2 linked regions of the Caenorhabditis elegans genome follow. The protein of the gene in region 1 purifies or fractionates together with the protein of each later gene. This does not show direct contact. Each region holds a gene or a part of one and is shown on either strand. Other genes may lie near its edges. The genes, in order: srrt-1 and spt-16.

The links.
Region 2: the proteins of srrt-1 (region 1) and spt-16 fractionate together in Caenorhabditis elegans (co-fractionation; one large-scale study listed by BioGRID). This does not show direct contact.

What each region holds. Positions count from the first base shown.
Region 1 is NC_003279.8:4,130,500-4,135,970, reverse strand, and holds srrt-1 (Serrate RNA effector molecule homolog), read right to left. Parts: upstream 3,472-5,471; 5' UTR 3,471-3,471; coding exon 3,403-3,470; intron 3,348-3,402; coding exon 3,255-3,347; intron 3,210-3,254; coding exon 2,979-3,209; intron 2,814-2,978; coding exon 2,644-2,813; intron 2,589-2,643; coding exon 1,481-2,588; intron 1,425-1,480; coding exon 1,114-1,424; intron 1,067-1,113; coding exon 909-1,066; 3' UTR 734-908; downstream 1-733. Other genes in the region: dph-6 (Diphthine--ammonia ligase), read left to right, coding at 1-180, 564-641; let-504 (NF-kappa-B-activating protein C-terminal domain-containing protein), read left to right, coding at 3,779-3,850, 3,908-3,969, 4,161-5,418. UniProt on the Caenorhabditis elegans protein: Acts as a mediator between the cap-binding complex (CBC) and the primary microRNAs (miRNAs) processing machinery.
Region 2 is NC_003279.8:10,786,944-10,793,755, reverse strand, and holds spt-16 (FACT complex subunit spt-16), read right to left. Parts: upstream 4,627-6,812; 5' UTR 4,620-4,626; coding exon 4,548-4,619; intron 4,500-4,547; coding exon 4,407-4,499; intron 4,357-4,406; coding exon 3,901-4,356; intron 3,540-3,900; coding exon 2,098-3,539; intron 1,938-2,097; coding exon 1,511-1,937; intron 1,458-1,510; coding exon 855-1,457; 3' UTR 604-854; downstream 1-603. Other genes in the region: F55A3.2 (C2H2-type domain-containing protein), read right to left, coding at 1-164. UniProt on the Caenorhabditis elegans protein: Component of the FACT complex, a general chromatin factor that acts to reorganize nucleosomes. The FACT complex is involved in multiple processes that require DNA as a template such as mRNA elongation, DNA replication and DNA repair.

The sequences.
Region 1 (5,471 bases):
GTGGCCGCCATTGGGCTCGGCGAGCAACATCTCGGAAAAACGTTGTCAGAAATGGCACCAATTATGAAAGTTCTTCAGGATAAATATGGAGTTCATCCGTGCGGTGAAGGTGGAGAATTCGAGTCATTTGTACGAGATTGCCCGCTTTTTAAAAAGCGAATTGTTATCGATGAAACGGAGGTAGATATTACACAATTCTGAGAATGCGTATGGTGCAACATATTTGGCGAGCACAATATCGTGTAGCGAAAACTACCGTAATTCTTCAAATGACTACTGTAGCGCTTGTGTCGATTTACGGGATTGATTTTCGAAAATAATTAAAATTCTTTATTTATCGAAAAAATATAGAAAATTATGTGAAGAAACCCTGTCACTATTCGAAAAGAAATTAATCTCAAAAAATCTAGCCCGTAAATCGACAACAGCGCTACAGTAGTCATTTAAAGAATTACTGTAGTTTTCGCTACGAGACAATCTGCGCGTCAAATATGTTGCGCAATACACATTCTCAGCTCCCGTAATACTTGAAATCCAACTTTCAACATTCTGTATTTTTCCAGACAGTAACCCACCAAGATGATCCCATTGCTCCTGTGTTCTACCTCCGACTGAAAAAGATGCACTTGGAGGACAAGTGAGATGGGAAAACATGTACTTTTGTTAATTTTAAATGTTATATTTACTTTTCTTGTTATGATGATTGTTTTCTAATAAAAAGTTCCGTTGAGTTACACAGAATCATATTTCATTAGGGACGTATTGAAAATGGAGCGTTTTTTAAAAAAGGAGATTATTATTGGCCATACAAAAACATTTAGTTAAAACTAATATTTAATTGAGAAGGGGGAAATAAATAGCATAATTTGTTGTGCATATATTTGAATTGGATTCAACGTAGGATGGAATTATGGAATATCATCTGGAGCATCCAAATCGCGATACGAGACTGGCTGACGACGTGGCGCATCCTCGAAGTAGCGTCCACCACCACCTCGTCCACCAAGTGAATGTCGAGGAGGGAATTGGGGACGACGATCATATCCTCCACCGCCAAAAGAGTTTCCTGAAAATTAATCATATTTATGAAATTTCAAGAGTTGAACAACTCACTTCCTCCACCACCAGGTCCTCGATCATCGTCTCGTTCTCTTCCATATCCACCTCGCTCACCACCACCACCTCCACGATGATCATCTCTTGGAGCTTGTTTGGGCTCACAGTCGACTGGTCTTTGGGCGTCGGCAAGATAATTGTTGAAAAAGTCAGCTTCTGCTCTCGCTTCCTCCAGCTTGTCTTCATGTTTAGACTGCAAGTGCTTTCGGATGAATTCAGGTCCCTTGAATTTCTTTCCAGAAAGCGGACAGAGCCATTTATCCTTTGCCAACTCGACAGTATTCTTTTGAATAAAAGCTTCAACTTCCCTGAAAATTTGGGTTTGTTAAAAATTATTTTTAAAAAAGCAAATTTTTTCACTTACTTTTCTCCATCCTTCTTGCCCATTTTCTCCAATTCTTCCTCGCTTACATACTGCTTTTCAATCAACCCTTTCTCAATGCGGCTATTGAATCCCGAAATAAAATCGTTCACAAATTTCTGTGGAACGACGAGAGCTCCATCCTCGTCAGTAGTGATTGATACTCCAGAAGGCGGCTGCCCACGAACGTGAATCAAGCCACATCGATTCGGCATCGAATCTTCCTGCGCATAATGTCCGTGATTATAAAAATCGATGGAATGAACAATGCGAAGGTAAACGATGAGAAGATCGAGAGCCTTCAGGATATTATCATCGCGCTCAAACCGAATCTTTTCAGCTGGTGCTTCACCTCCATTCGAGACTCCCAATAATTCAGCTTCCTCTTCACTAATATCATTGAGAACATCATGTGGAACAAGTGATTTAACTTCTTTAATCAACGGATTCGTTGAAGCAGCGACTAAATCAACGCCCATACGAATATCCATCTCACGATCAGCATCAGCTTCATCAGCAGCGTTGAACAAACCAATCTTCTTGTCATAAAGAACAGTGAGCTTGACAGCAAGCTTCAGATCGTTAATCGCAACTTGCTTATGAGATGCAATCCCATTATTGGTACGAACACGACGAGTAATGTCACGGTTGATGATTGCATTCAGATCAGTTTCTCGCAGACGATGTGCGTTGAGTGCCCAGCAGATTTCTTTGATATTGATATCTCGCTTGAATGTAGCCCATCCTCTTCTGTAGAACTTTCTTTCGGCAATTCCATCGGTCAGAGCAAGACGTAAAAATCCTGGGCTCTTTTTACAGAGACCCTCTAGTTCCTCATATGTGAGACCTGGTGGGATATTTCTCAAGAAAACCGAGCAGGTTCTGTGGATGTTGACCTTGTTCGATGACTTTTCGGTTCCATCTTCAATGGCTCCCTCTTCCAACTCTTCCGTTGCTCCGGATTCTTGTTTTACTTCTGGCTCTTCTTTCGGCTGTTCGGTTCCATTCCCATTCTCGTCTTTTTTAATGTCAGCGAGTGACTCGTCTTCTAGTTTTTGAGCCAGAACAGCTTTCAACTCGTCTTCAGTTCCATTTTCCAGCTTGACAACAACTGAAAATACAACAAAATTAAACATATATTCGAAACCTTTAAAAACAAAATCTACCTGAATCTAGCATTCTAATGATTGCCTCCGCATCTCCGAAATCCAGAGAGAATTTATTGAATTGTCCCTGCTCCTTCAACTCATTGAAAACCTGCAAGCGCTTCTGCACATTTTCCAAATGCGCCTCTCGCAACTTCTTCGCATCATCCGGTTTGTATTTAAGACGGAACCTGAAATAGATGTTGAAAAATTAGAACTCAAGATATTAAAAGACAACGGGTATTGGAACAAAATGTGAATGGCATCCGTGCCGAGTGAAAAATTCAAAGATATAACCAATCCGTTGACCGCGGCATAATGCGCCTCTGGTCTTGAAAATCGAAGCTGAAATTTACCATTCTTCGTCTTTATGGGCACGGAAGAACCGTTCAAGTTGATGTTTTCTATGTTCTGTCTTGTACTCATTATATTTTTTGATAGCATCTTCTTCCGAGATATCATCTTCCTGGCTAGTGAGGAACTTTTTGAATGTTTGAAGTGGTCCCGAATATATGGAATCCGATTCAGTGGGTAAATCCGAACCATTACCAGAACGACTTACGGGATCGAAACTGTCATCTGCGTCGCTGAAAAAACATAGATTTTCAACGTAAACAAAAAACGATACTAACTCTCCACGACTCCGCTTTACTTGGTAATCATCTCTTCGTCCTCCAGGACGCTTGTTGTCATAGCGATTGAATCCGCCTCCACCACGGCGATAACTGAAACAGAATGAGTGATTTTTTAGTATTTGAAATATAATAGAAAGAAACTTACTCCTCATCACGACGTTCACGGGCGAATTTGTCACGGCGGCGATCGCCATCATCATCAGAGTCCACCATTCTGTAAATAAGAATTTATTTGATAAATTGAAGTGATTCAGAAGAAATCAAATTTATTTGGATCAAAATAAACACATTTTGCGAGCAGAAAATGCAGAAAATCACTGAAAAATATGCTAAAGAACGCGCAATGTTTTTTTCCAATTTGAACGCTGCACGCCGCACGGTTAAAGTGGGCGGAGACTTGCTCGGCAACACCGCCGCGCAGAAATTCTGTTCTTTTTTATCTCCAGTCATTTTCGAAATCATTTTTTTATTGAATTCCGGAATTTTTTGATTGCGCGCCGATTTCTACTTCAATTCACAAGATGAGTGATATTTCTTTGGATTATGAAGGCAGTTCAGATGATTCACGAAGTTCAAGATCATCGTCGAGAGAGGTACTTTGCCGTTTTGCACGTTCAAAAAATGTTATTTTCATTTAAAATTACTTTTAGAACAGAAGAAGAACGAATAGTGGCAGCGGGGACAAAGACAAACCAATGTGGAAGTCAAAAAGGTGAGTTTTCAATCAATTTTTGCTTAAAAAATACAACATTTTCTCAAACCAGAATAGGAAAATCGCGCTTTTTAAACTTGGATTTTTTCGATTTTCTTTTGTAATATTTCTAAATTTGAGACTACTTTGGATTTTCTGAAGCGAAATTTACGTTTTTTTAAAATAAAAATAATTATAATTTATAATTTCAGAGATTCCTCCAGAAGTAGTCGAAGTAGAAGCCGTTCAAGTTCCGAATCAGACTCCCGTTCTCGATCTTCAAGCCCAGTTGTAAAAAATTCGCCTCCAAAACGAAAACGAGAGCCAATTCGTGCTCCGAGTGCCTCACCGCCACGAAGACGTCGTGATGATTCTCCAAGAAAACGAAGCCGATCTCCACCACGTCGTACTCGTCGTAGTCCTTCTCCACCAAGACGTCGTCGAATTTCAAGGAGCCCAGTCAGAAGAAGCCGATCTCCACCACGACGTCAAGTTTCCAGGAGTCGATCTCCTCCTCCGAGAAGACAACAACGCTCAAGAAGTCCACCACCAGCAAAACGTAGACGAGATCAGAGCCGTTCAAAGTCTCCACCAAGAAGAAATTATAGACAACGACAACGAAGCGGCTCGCCGCCTGTTAGAAATTGGAGGGATGAAGAAGAAAATCGTAGAGCTGAAATGTGGTCAAAAAGACGTTTCCAGCGAGTTAATATCCAAGCCGATGGCCTGAATAACATCTGGGGACATTCGCCAACTCATGAGGAGATACATGACACTTATAAATTGAGAGTTGCGGCTGAAGAGATTCAAGCAGAAAATGAAAAGAAACGAGAAGAACTGAAAGAAGATAGAAGGAAGGAGAAGAAAAGAGAAATGAGAGCAGTTAGAAATGTTTCTGAAGACGATTCTTCGACATCTTCTGAATCGGAGGAAAGTGATTTTGAACAGAAGAAGAAGAAGAAGGTGAAGAAATCAAAGAAAAGTAAAAAGGATAAAAAGAAGGAAAAGAAAGAGAAGAAAAAGAGCAAAAAGGCAAATAAGGAGAAAGAAGAGAGAAGAGCTCGTCGTGAGCAACGAAAGAAAGAACGTGCTGAGCTGAAGAGAAAGATTAATAATCGTTCTGATACTGAAGAAGAATGGGAAGAAAAGCAGTCTGAAAAGATTGTTGGCACGATTGGAACATGGAAAGAAGGAAGTATGTCACCGACGCCAATTCTCCCAGAACATATTAAACAACGTGATCAAGGTGGTGGTTATGATGTTGAGAAGCCCGGAAACTATGGTAAAGATCTACTAAAAGGAGAGGGCGCCGGAATGGCTGCGTACGCGGCTCGCGGAGAACGTATTCCACGACGAGGAGAAATCGGTTTATCGTCTGGAGAGATTGCTGAATACGAAAAAGTTGGTTATGTGATGTCCGGATCTCGACACAAGGCAATGGAGGCGACGAGATTGAGAAAAGAAAACCAGGTGAGGGTTTATTGAACAATTTTTTTACAAATTGGGAAAAATTGTAAACTGCT
Region 2 (6,812 bases), 6.7 Mb from region 1:
GCTTTAATGGCTTCATCCATCGTCAAAGTTCCTATTTTTTCATTACTTCTCATCATTTTTCCACGTGTTTTTCGACTCGTTCTCGTAGATGCTGAATCGGAACCCGAAACTGAATCATCCTTCAGTTTTAACCGTTTTGCCACTGGGCCAGGTGGTTTCGGCATCTGTAAATCGGAAATTAGCGAGTTTATTCAATTAAAAAATTATTTTCAGCAAAATTCCCACTCACCGAACCCACAAATCCACCGCAATCAGAGGGCTAAGTGCAAGACACGTGGCATGTCAAGAGCATTCCAATGCTCCACCCTCTGCATACGATCTTCATGTTTCAAGCAACTGCTTATTACACAGACGTCTAAAATTAAAACTTTTCGCCAAATGGGTCTCGCCACGAGGACTACGGTAACTCGTGTCTATGACGCTTTTGCATAATATTCTAAAGCGGCTCGAAGATCAACACGAGCTACAGTAACCTGTCGTCTGCGCGGCGAGACCCATTTGGCAAAACTTTTCCTTTTTAGAAATCTGTATAATTTTGTTGTTGTAATATTAATCAGAAAAAGTAGAAACGGAAACATTTTCAGAAAACCGACAAAATTATGTAAAAACGTGCCTCCATGAAACTTCATTTGACATTAATTGATTTTGAAATCAAAAATATTTTAGCATCGACTCAAATTTTGAGTGGGAAAGAAAAATAAGGGGATTGACAGATTTTAGTTGTAAAATTGTTGTAAAATGGGGGGTGTAACGGGACGGATTGATTGATTGAGATGCGAAGAAAATTCTTGGGGATTTAAATAGTTGAAAAACAAAACAAAAGAATAAAACGGAGGAAATTATACAAACAGGATTTACTTTCTGCGTTTGTGCGATGGTCCAGACTTGCTCGAATGTGGTCTCTTACGATCACGATCACGTGAAGGTTCTTCGACTTCACGTCTCTTATCAGCATTCGCTGCTTCTTCCTCCAAATCTGACCAATCTTTTCCTTCTGATTCATCGGAATCCAACGATCCTTCATCATCATCATCGGATTCAGTCTCTTCACCTTCACTTTCATCTTCATCACTTTCACTTCCTGATCCAGCAGATGCATCTTCTTCTTCAGGATCATAAGCATCCGAATCATCAGAATCATCCATTGCCTCTTCATTATCAGATTCAACATTAAGGAAACTCCATCCACCTTCTTCAAAGAATGCTTCAAGATCATCAGTGATTGTCTTCATAACTTTTGCCCAATTCAGTGATTGAATTCCTTCACTGTACCAAATATCACAAGTATGAAGCCATTCTTTTATCTTATCGATGCTGCTCATCGGGATTTGGGCGACCATCTGAGGTTTGATCTTGTAATCTTTGAAGATGAAGACCATATCGAAATTCTTGAGTTGAAGAGAGACACGTTCAAAGTGGACAAGTTCAACTTCGGAGAGTGTGACGATGAATGTAGGCTGAAAATAAATAAAATATAAAAGAATTCAGGAATAAAATTCAAAAAACATACCCATTCGGTGAGATTAACAAGGCACGATGCAGTTGGTTTGAGTGTGGTAGCCGAACGATACGGAACTCCAAAGAATCCGAGTCCAGCGAACGGAGAATCGAATTCAAATTGATCATTTGTGAGACGAGACACCTTCTCGCAGAAACTATTAAATGCAGCATTGAGACGACGACGCATTTCACGTTCTTGCTGTTCACTCTGCATATCATCACGATCTTGCATATGATGATACTTTCCAAGATCCGTAGTGATTTCTCCGACTTCTGTGTAGAATTGAACATCCTTATACTTCTTCTTTCCCCACAATACTGGATTCTTGAGATGGAAGTGCAGAAGGATGATCATTTCATTGTCGCACGGTTGGAAGAATGCATGTTTGATGTTGTTGTAGAGAACATCAATACGATCACCACGAAGAGATGTGTATCTGGAAAATCATTGAAATAAAAATAGGAAATTTTGAGCTTTTAGATTTTTTTTGTTTAAATAGACTAAAACTGATCCGAAACGGCATAATTTCGAAACGAAAGTTTTCAAATTTGGCAATTTTTGAGTTCAGAAACATTCGTTTTCCTTCAAAACTGTACCTAAATCCATTAGTGTGGGCCTCCAACGATCCAGTGATACGCTTTTGAATAATATTCGGACGAATCAGAAGATCCTTGAGCTTCGGATTCAATTTGTTCTGGCTCAAAATCAATTTGTCCTGCTTCACAGCTCCTTCCTTCTCCCGCTCTTCAGCCTCTTCAGTCTTGAATCTCTTCTGCATTTCCTTGATGAGTCGGAATGCGGTGCTCAAATTATGGCTCGGCGCAGTCGAATCACTGTGATGATCCTTGATGTTACTCGCACGGAACGTGAGCTCCTTCATATAGTGTGCAAGTGGATGTGGGAATTGCCCACTATCCTTTCCAACTTGAGATCCTGGAGTGGCAAAGTTGATTCGAAGATATGTGAAATCTCCTTCAACTGATTGCGAACAATTCTTTATCATGGAGATATGGAATGGGACAGGAATTCCAAATATTGGAACAACCACAGAATCATACTTGCGATCCACGAAAATCAACATCTTCTGAACGTCTGCATCTTGTGGGAATCTCTCTTCGGTTTTATATGACACATTCGATTTCTTCGACTTTTTCTCATCGGTCCCACCGCCTTGCTTTGAAAGACGAGCTTTTGCGAGCTCATTCAACTGAACTCCGAGCTCTTTCTGACGTTCCTTACGTAACTCTTCGTTTGTCGTCTTATTTCTCGTCTGATCAGTTAGAACGACACTTCTCTGACCTCTTCCGAGCATTTTCTTCTGATCATTGTCCTTTTCAGCTTCACGGTTTTCCTGCTCCTCTTTGAATTTGATGACGTTGGACTTCAGGCGTGATTTGGCTTTTTCGGTGAGAATCTCGTTATCGCCTTCTTCTTTAACCAAAATTGTATCCGAGATTGCAATTGCGGCGGGTTTTCCTTTTTCTCCTTTATTTTTGTTTGGAATACTATCGACACCAATATAAACGATGAAGACCATTCCTGCTTTGACAACCTCGTCACACTTCGCACTGATAGCAAGACGACTCTCACGGAATTCGATTCCAGTCGCAAATCCAAGCTCTTTCTTGTTCAGAGTTTCAGCAAGTTTTGGACTTTTCTCCGTCAATGTATCGATTCCAATTTTATAAACATCGCTCAGCTTGGCTCCTGGCTTCAGAGCAGCAATTACTGCCAGCTCGGCGGCAAGAATCGCTTCATAGGCAGTCTCAAGTTCAGAAGATGGGAAGATGAGCATAGTTCGCGTCAAATTTGTGCAATATTCTGATAAACGAGCTCCGAACGAAGTGATGATCGTTCCAAACTGGCTGTGAAGATGAGATTCCGAGCTTTCATGATTCCATTTGAACGAGTAATTTCCACCGGACATTACGATTGGATCATAGCATGTGTCGGCTTCATACTTGGCCAGTGCCTGTTGTACTTTTGAATCCTTCATGAAGGCGGCAAACTCATTGGAGAGAACAGAGTGACGGACTCGCTGCAAAAATAAAAAAGAATTATTTTCTCGGGATTAAAACAGTGGTTTTCCCAGGAGTACTAAAAAATGAGCCAGTTATTGGTGATAGATAAAAGGAAAAACAGTTTAGTCATCTAAAAATAGCTTTACATTTAATTGAAACAACTGGAAGAACGCTCAAAAACTGCATGAAAGTTTAATTTTCGGGTGATTTCCAACTTTCAGATTGATTTTGAGCAGTTCTTCCGCTTTTTCAATTGAATTAAAAGCTATTTTCAGATACATCAACTGCTTCATTATATTCTATCACCAAAAACTGGCTAATTATGTAGAAATGCTTGCAGCGGACTCCTGGTTCAACTATTTTCAGAACGATAAGCACCTTTTCTTGATCAATGATCTCTACGTAGCGAGCTCTTGCAGCTGTCCATGATGCGGTTGTAGCTTGTGCTGATTTTCGAATCAAATCCATCTCCTTATCGTCTTTCACTGCGAACAGATGAGTAAACGCGAGAGTGACGTCATTCTTATTGACACCGCCTTCCTCGAGCGCCTTATTCCACGAACTGACGAATTCCGAGCTGAATTTCTCTTTGACGAAATTTCCAACATCTCCGCCGGCACTTTTGATGTGATCGATGAGCTTTTCAAAGTTTCCAGCGTCTTTGTCGGTTTTATCGCGGAGCAGTGTGCTGACTGTTGGCACTTTTCCTGAGCTCTGATTGTCTCCAGTGACTGATCCGAAGAATTCGACTTTGCGATTACTTCCGAGAATGTAAATGTGATCTTTGAGAAGCAACAGGACTGTGTCAGCGATTTCGTGGCCAAACAGCCAGGTCTGAAATAAAAATTTGTCTTGAGTTTGAACAAATTCTGAAAAATCCTTACAAATAGTGCGCTGGTCTTTGTATATGGATTATCAGTCTCTCCGTATACAAAAGCAAGTGATTTGATCGAATCTAGACCATCGGCTCCCTTCTCCTGTAAAATATTTGATTAAAAATTCGTAAAGTCCTGAAAGTCACAAACCCAGTGCTCATAAAGCCTCTCCGCTCTCTGGAAAAAGAGATCCTTGTTGAGAACTGCCCGTTTTCCAGACATTTCTCCCCTGAAAGTTAGAAATTGTGTTAAAGTCACGAGGATTGAGAGATGGAAGCAAAAATCGATAACGTAAACAAAGTGACCAGCAACGGATTCGGATAGGCTAAAAGTTTGAAATTTGCGAAAAAATTAATTTTTTTTGACACAATTTTAAAATTTTGAAAAAAACGTTTTGACGAGACAAATATTTTTTCACTGAAGAACTGTAAACTCTGAAAAATTAGAGCTGAAAGTGAGGATTGCGCGCGAAAAAGAATGGAATGAAGTTGGGCGTGGTCAAGGAACGCAACAGCCGCACGCACTTTCGCAACCACTCCGCATGCAATATTCCCGCCATGTTATTTACGGAGGGGCCATGTGAGAGTACACAATTGTGATGAATTCTTGAAGAAACATCAATTCCAGCGAGAGTTCAGAAAGTGGAGTTTCTGTAGGGTAGAAGATGTGGAATAAGTGATGAGATTATGTTGAGCGGGATGTAGGATGTCAGAAGAATCGTTGAAAAGAACAGAGTTGTAGATACAACAAGTCTTCGGAAATGCCGCGTGAACGGTAGATCAATTATTTCTTGAATTGGATTAAAGTCGGGATCGTTGAGATTTCTCATAAACCATAGTACACCAGGACGAAGGATTTCTCGAAGAAGAATCACAAATGACGCTGAATAAAATACATAAATCATTCCAACCATCCAATGAAGGAATATTGACATGAATGGAGCTGTGGCAAATGTTGCAATTCTTTGTGATAATGTTATATTGAATAATGGAAGTGTACAAACATCCATCCAACATCCACACATTACAGGGAAAAATCCAATTTCCAAGAATACCAGCAAGAAGACTATAATGATAAGGAGAGATGGCATTTGGGAACTAGTTTCAGATTCGGAATGCTAAAATATATTGAAGTTAAAGTCGACTTTTAGCAATTATTACGCCGGCAATTGCGAAAAATCCTGAAAGAAAAGTTTAATATTTTTCCTTTTCAGATAATCAAAGTTACAAATCCGGTTGTAATCCTACGATAGTGCCTACAATATTTCAGGCCTTGAAACGCAGACAACAGTAAAATTATAAGAACTTTAGAAAATTTTGAGGAGTTTAGCTCTACATCTGTCAATTTGGTATAAATTATCTGTTTTCTGAAAAATAAAGTATTTAACTATTTTAACAGCGGTCCACAAGAGAAACGGACGAAATATTTGAAGAAATTTTAAAAATTTAAAAAAAAACCGCGATAGGGTTGGTTAAAGGGACATCGGCTTACTCGGATGGGTCTCGACACGATTGTGGTTTTGCGTTGTTGTCGACGAACATTTTTGAATTCTAATTTTTTCCCTATTTTTTTGCCATAAAAGCTGTAGAATTGCTATATTTTTAAAATGTTTTCCATCGAAAAATTGTGAGATTGAGTTTGAAAATTACCGAGTTCCATTTTATTTTCATTGGATCTGTTTTTGATAGTTTTTACTTTTTTACAAATATTTTACAGGAGAAGGGAGCCGATGGTCTAGATTCGATCAAATCACTTGCTTTTGTATACGGAGAGACTGATAATCCATATACAAAGACCAGCGAACTATTTGTAAGGATTTTTCAGACTTTGTTCAAACTCAAGACAAATTTTTATTTCAGACCTGGCTTTTTGGCCACGAAATCGCTGACACAGTCCTGTTGCTTCTCAATGATCACATTTACATTCTCGGAAGTAATCGCAAAGTCGAATTCTTCGGATCAGTCACTGGAGACAATCAGAGCTCAGGAAAAGTGCCAACAGTCAGCACACTGCTCCGCGATAAAACCGATAAAGACGCTGGAAACTTTGAAAAGCTCATTGATCACATCAAAAGTGCAGGCGGAGATGTTGGAAATTTCGTCAAAGAGAAATTCAGCTCGGAATTCGTCAGTTCGTGGAATAAGGCGCTCGAGGAAGGCGGTGTCAATAAGAATGACGTTACTCTCGCGTTTACTCATCTGTTCGCAGTTAAAGACGATAAGGAGATGGATTTGATTCGAAAATCAGCACAGGCTACAACCGCATCATGGACAGCTGCGAGAGCTCGCTACGTGGAGATCAGTGATAATGAAAAGGTGCTTATCGTTCTGAAAATAGTTGAACTGGGAGTTCTTTTGGTGATAGAATGTAGAGAAACAGTTTGTGTATCTGAAAATAGCTTTTTAATTCAATTGG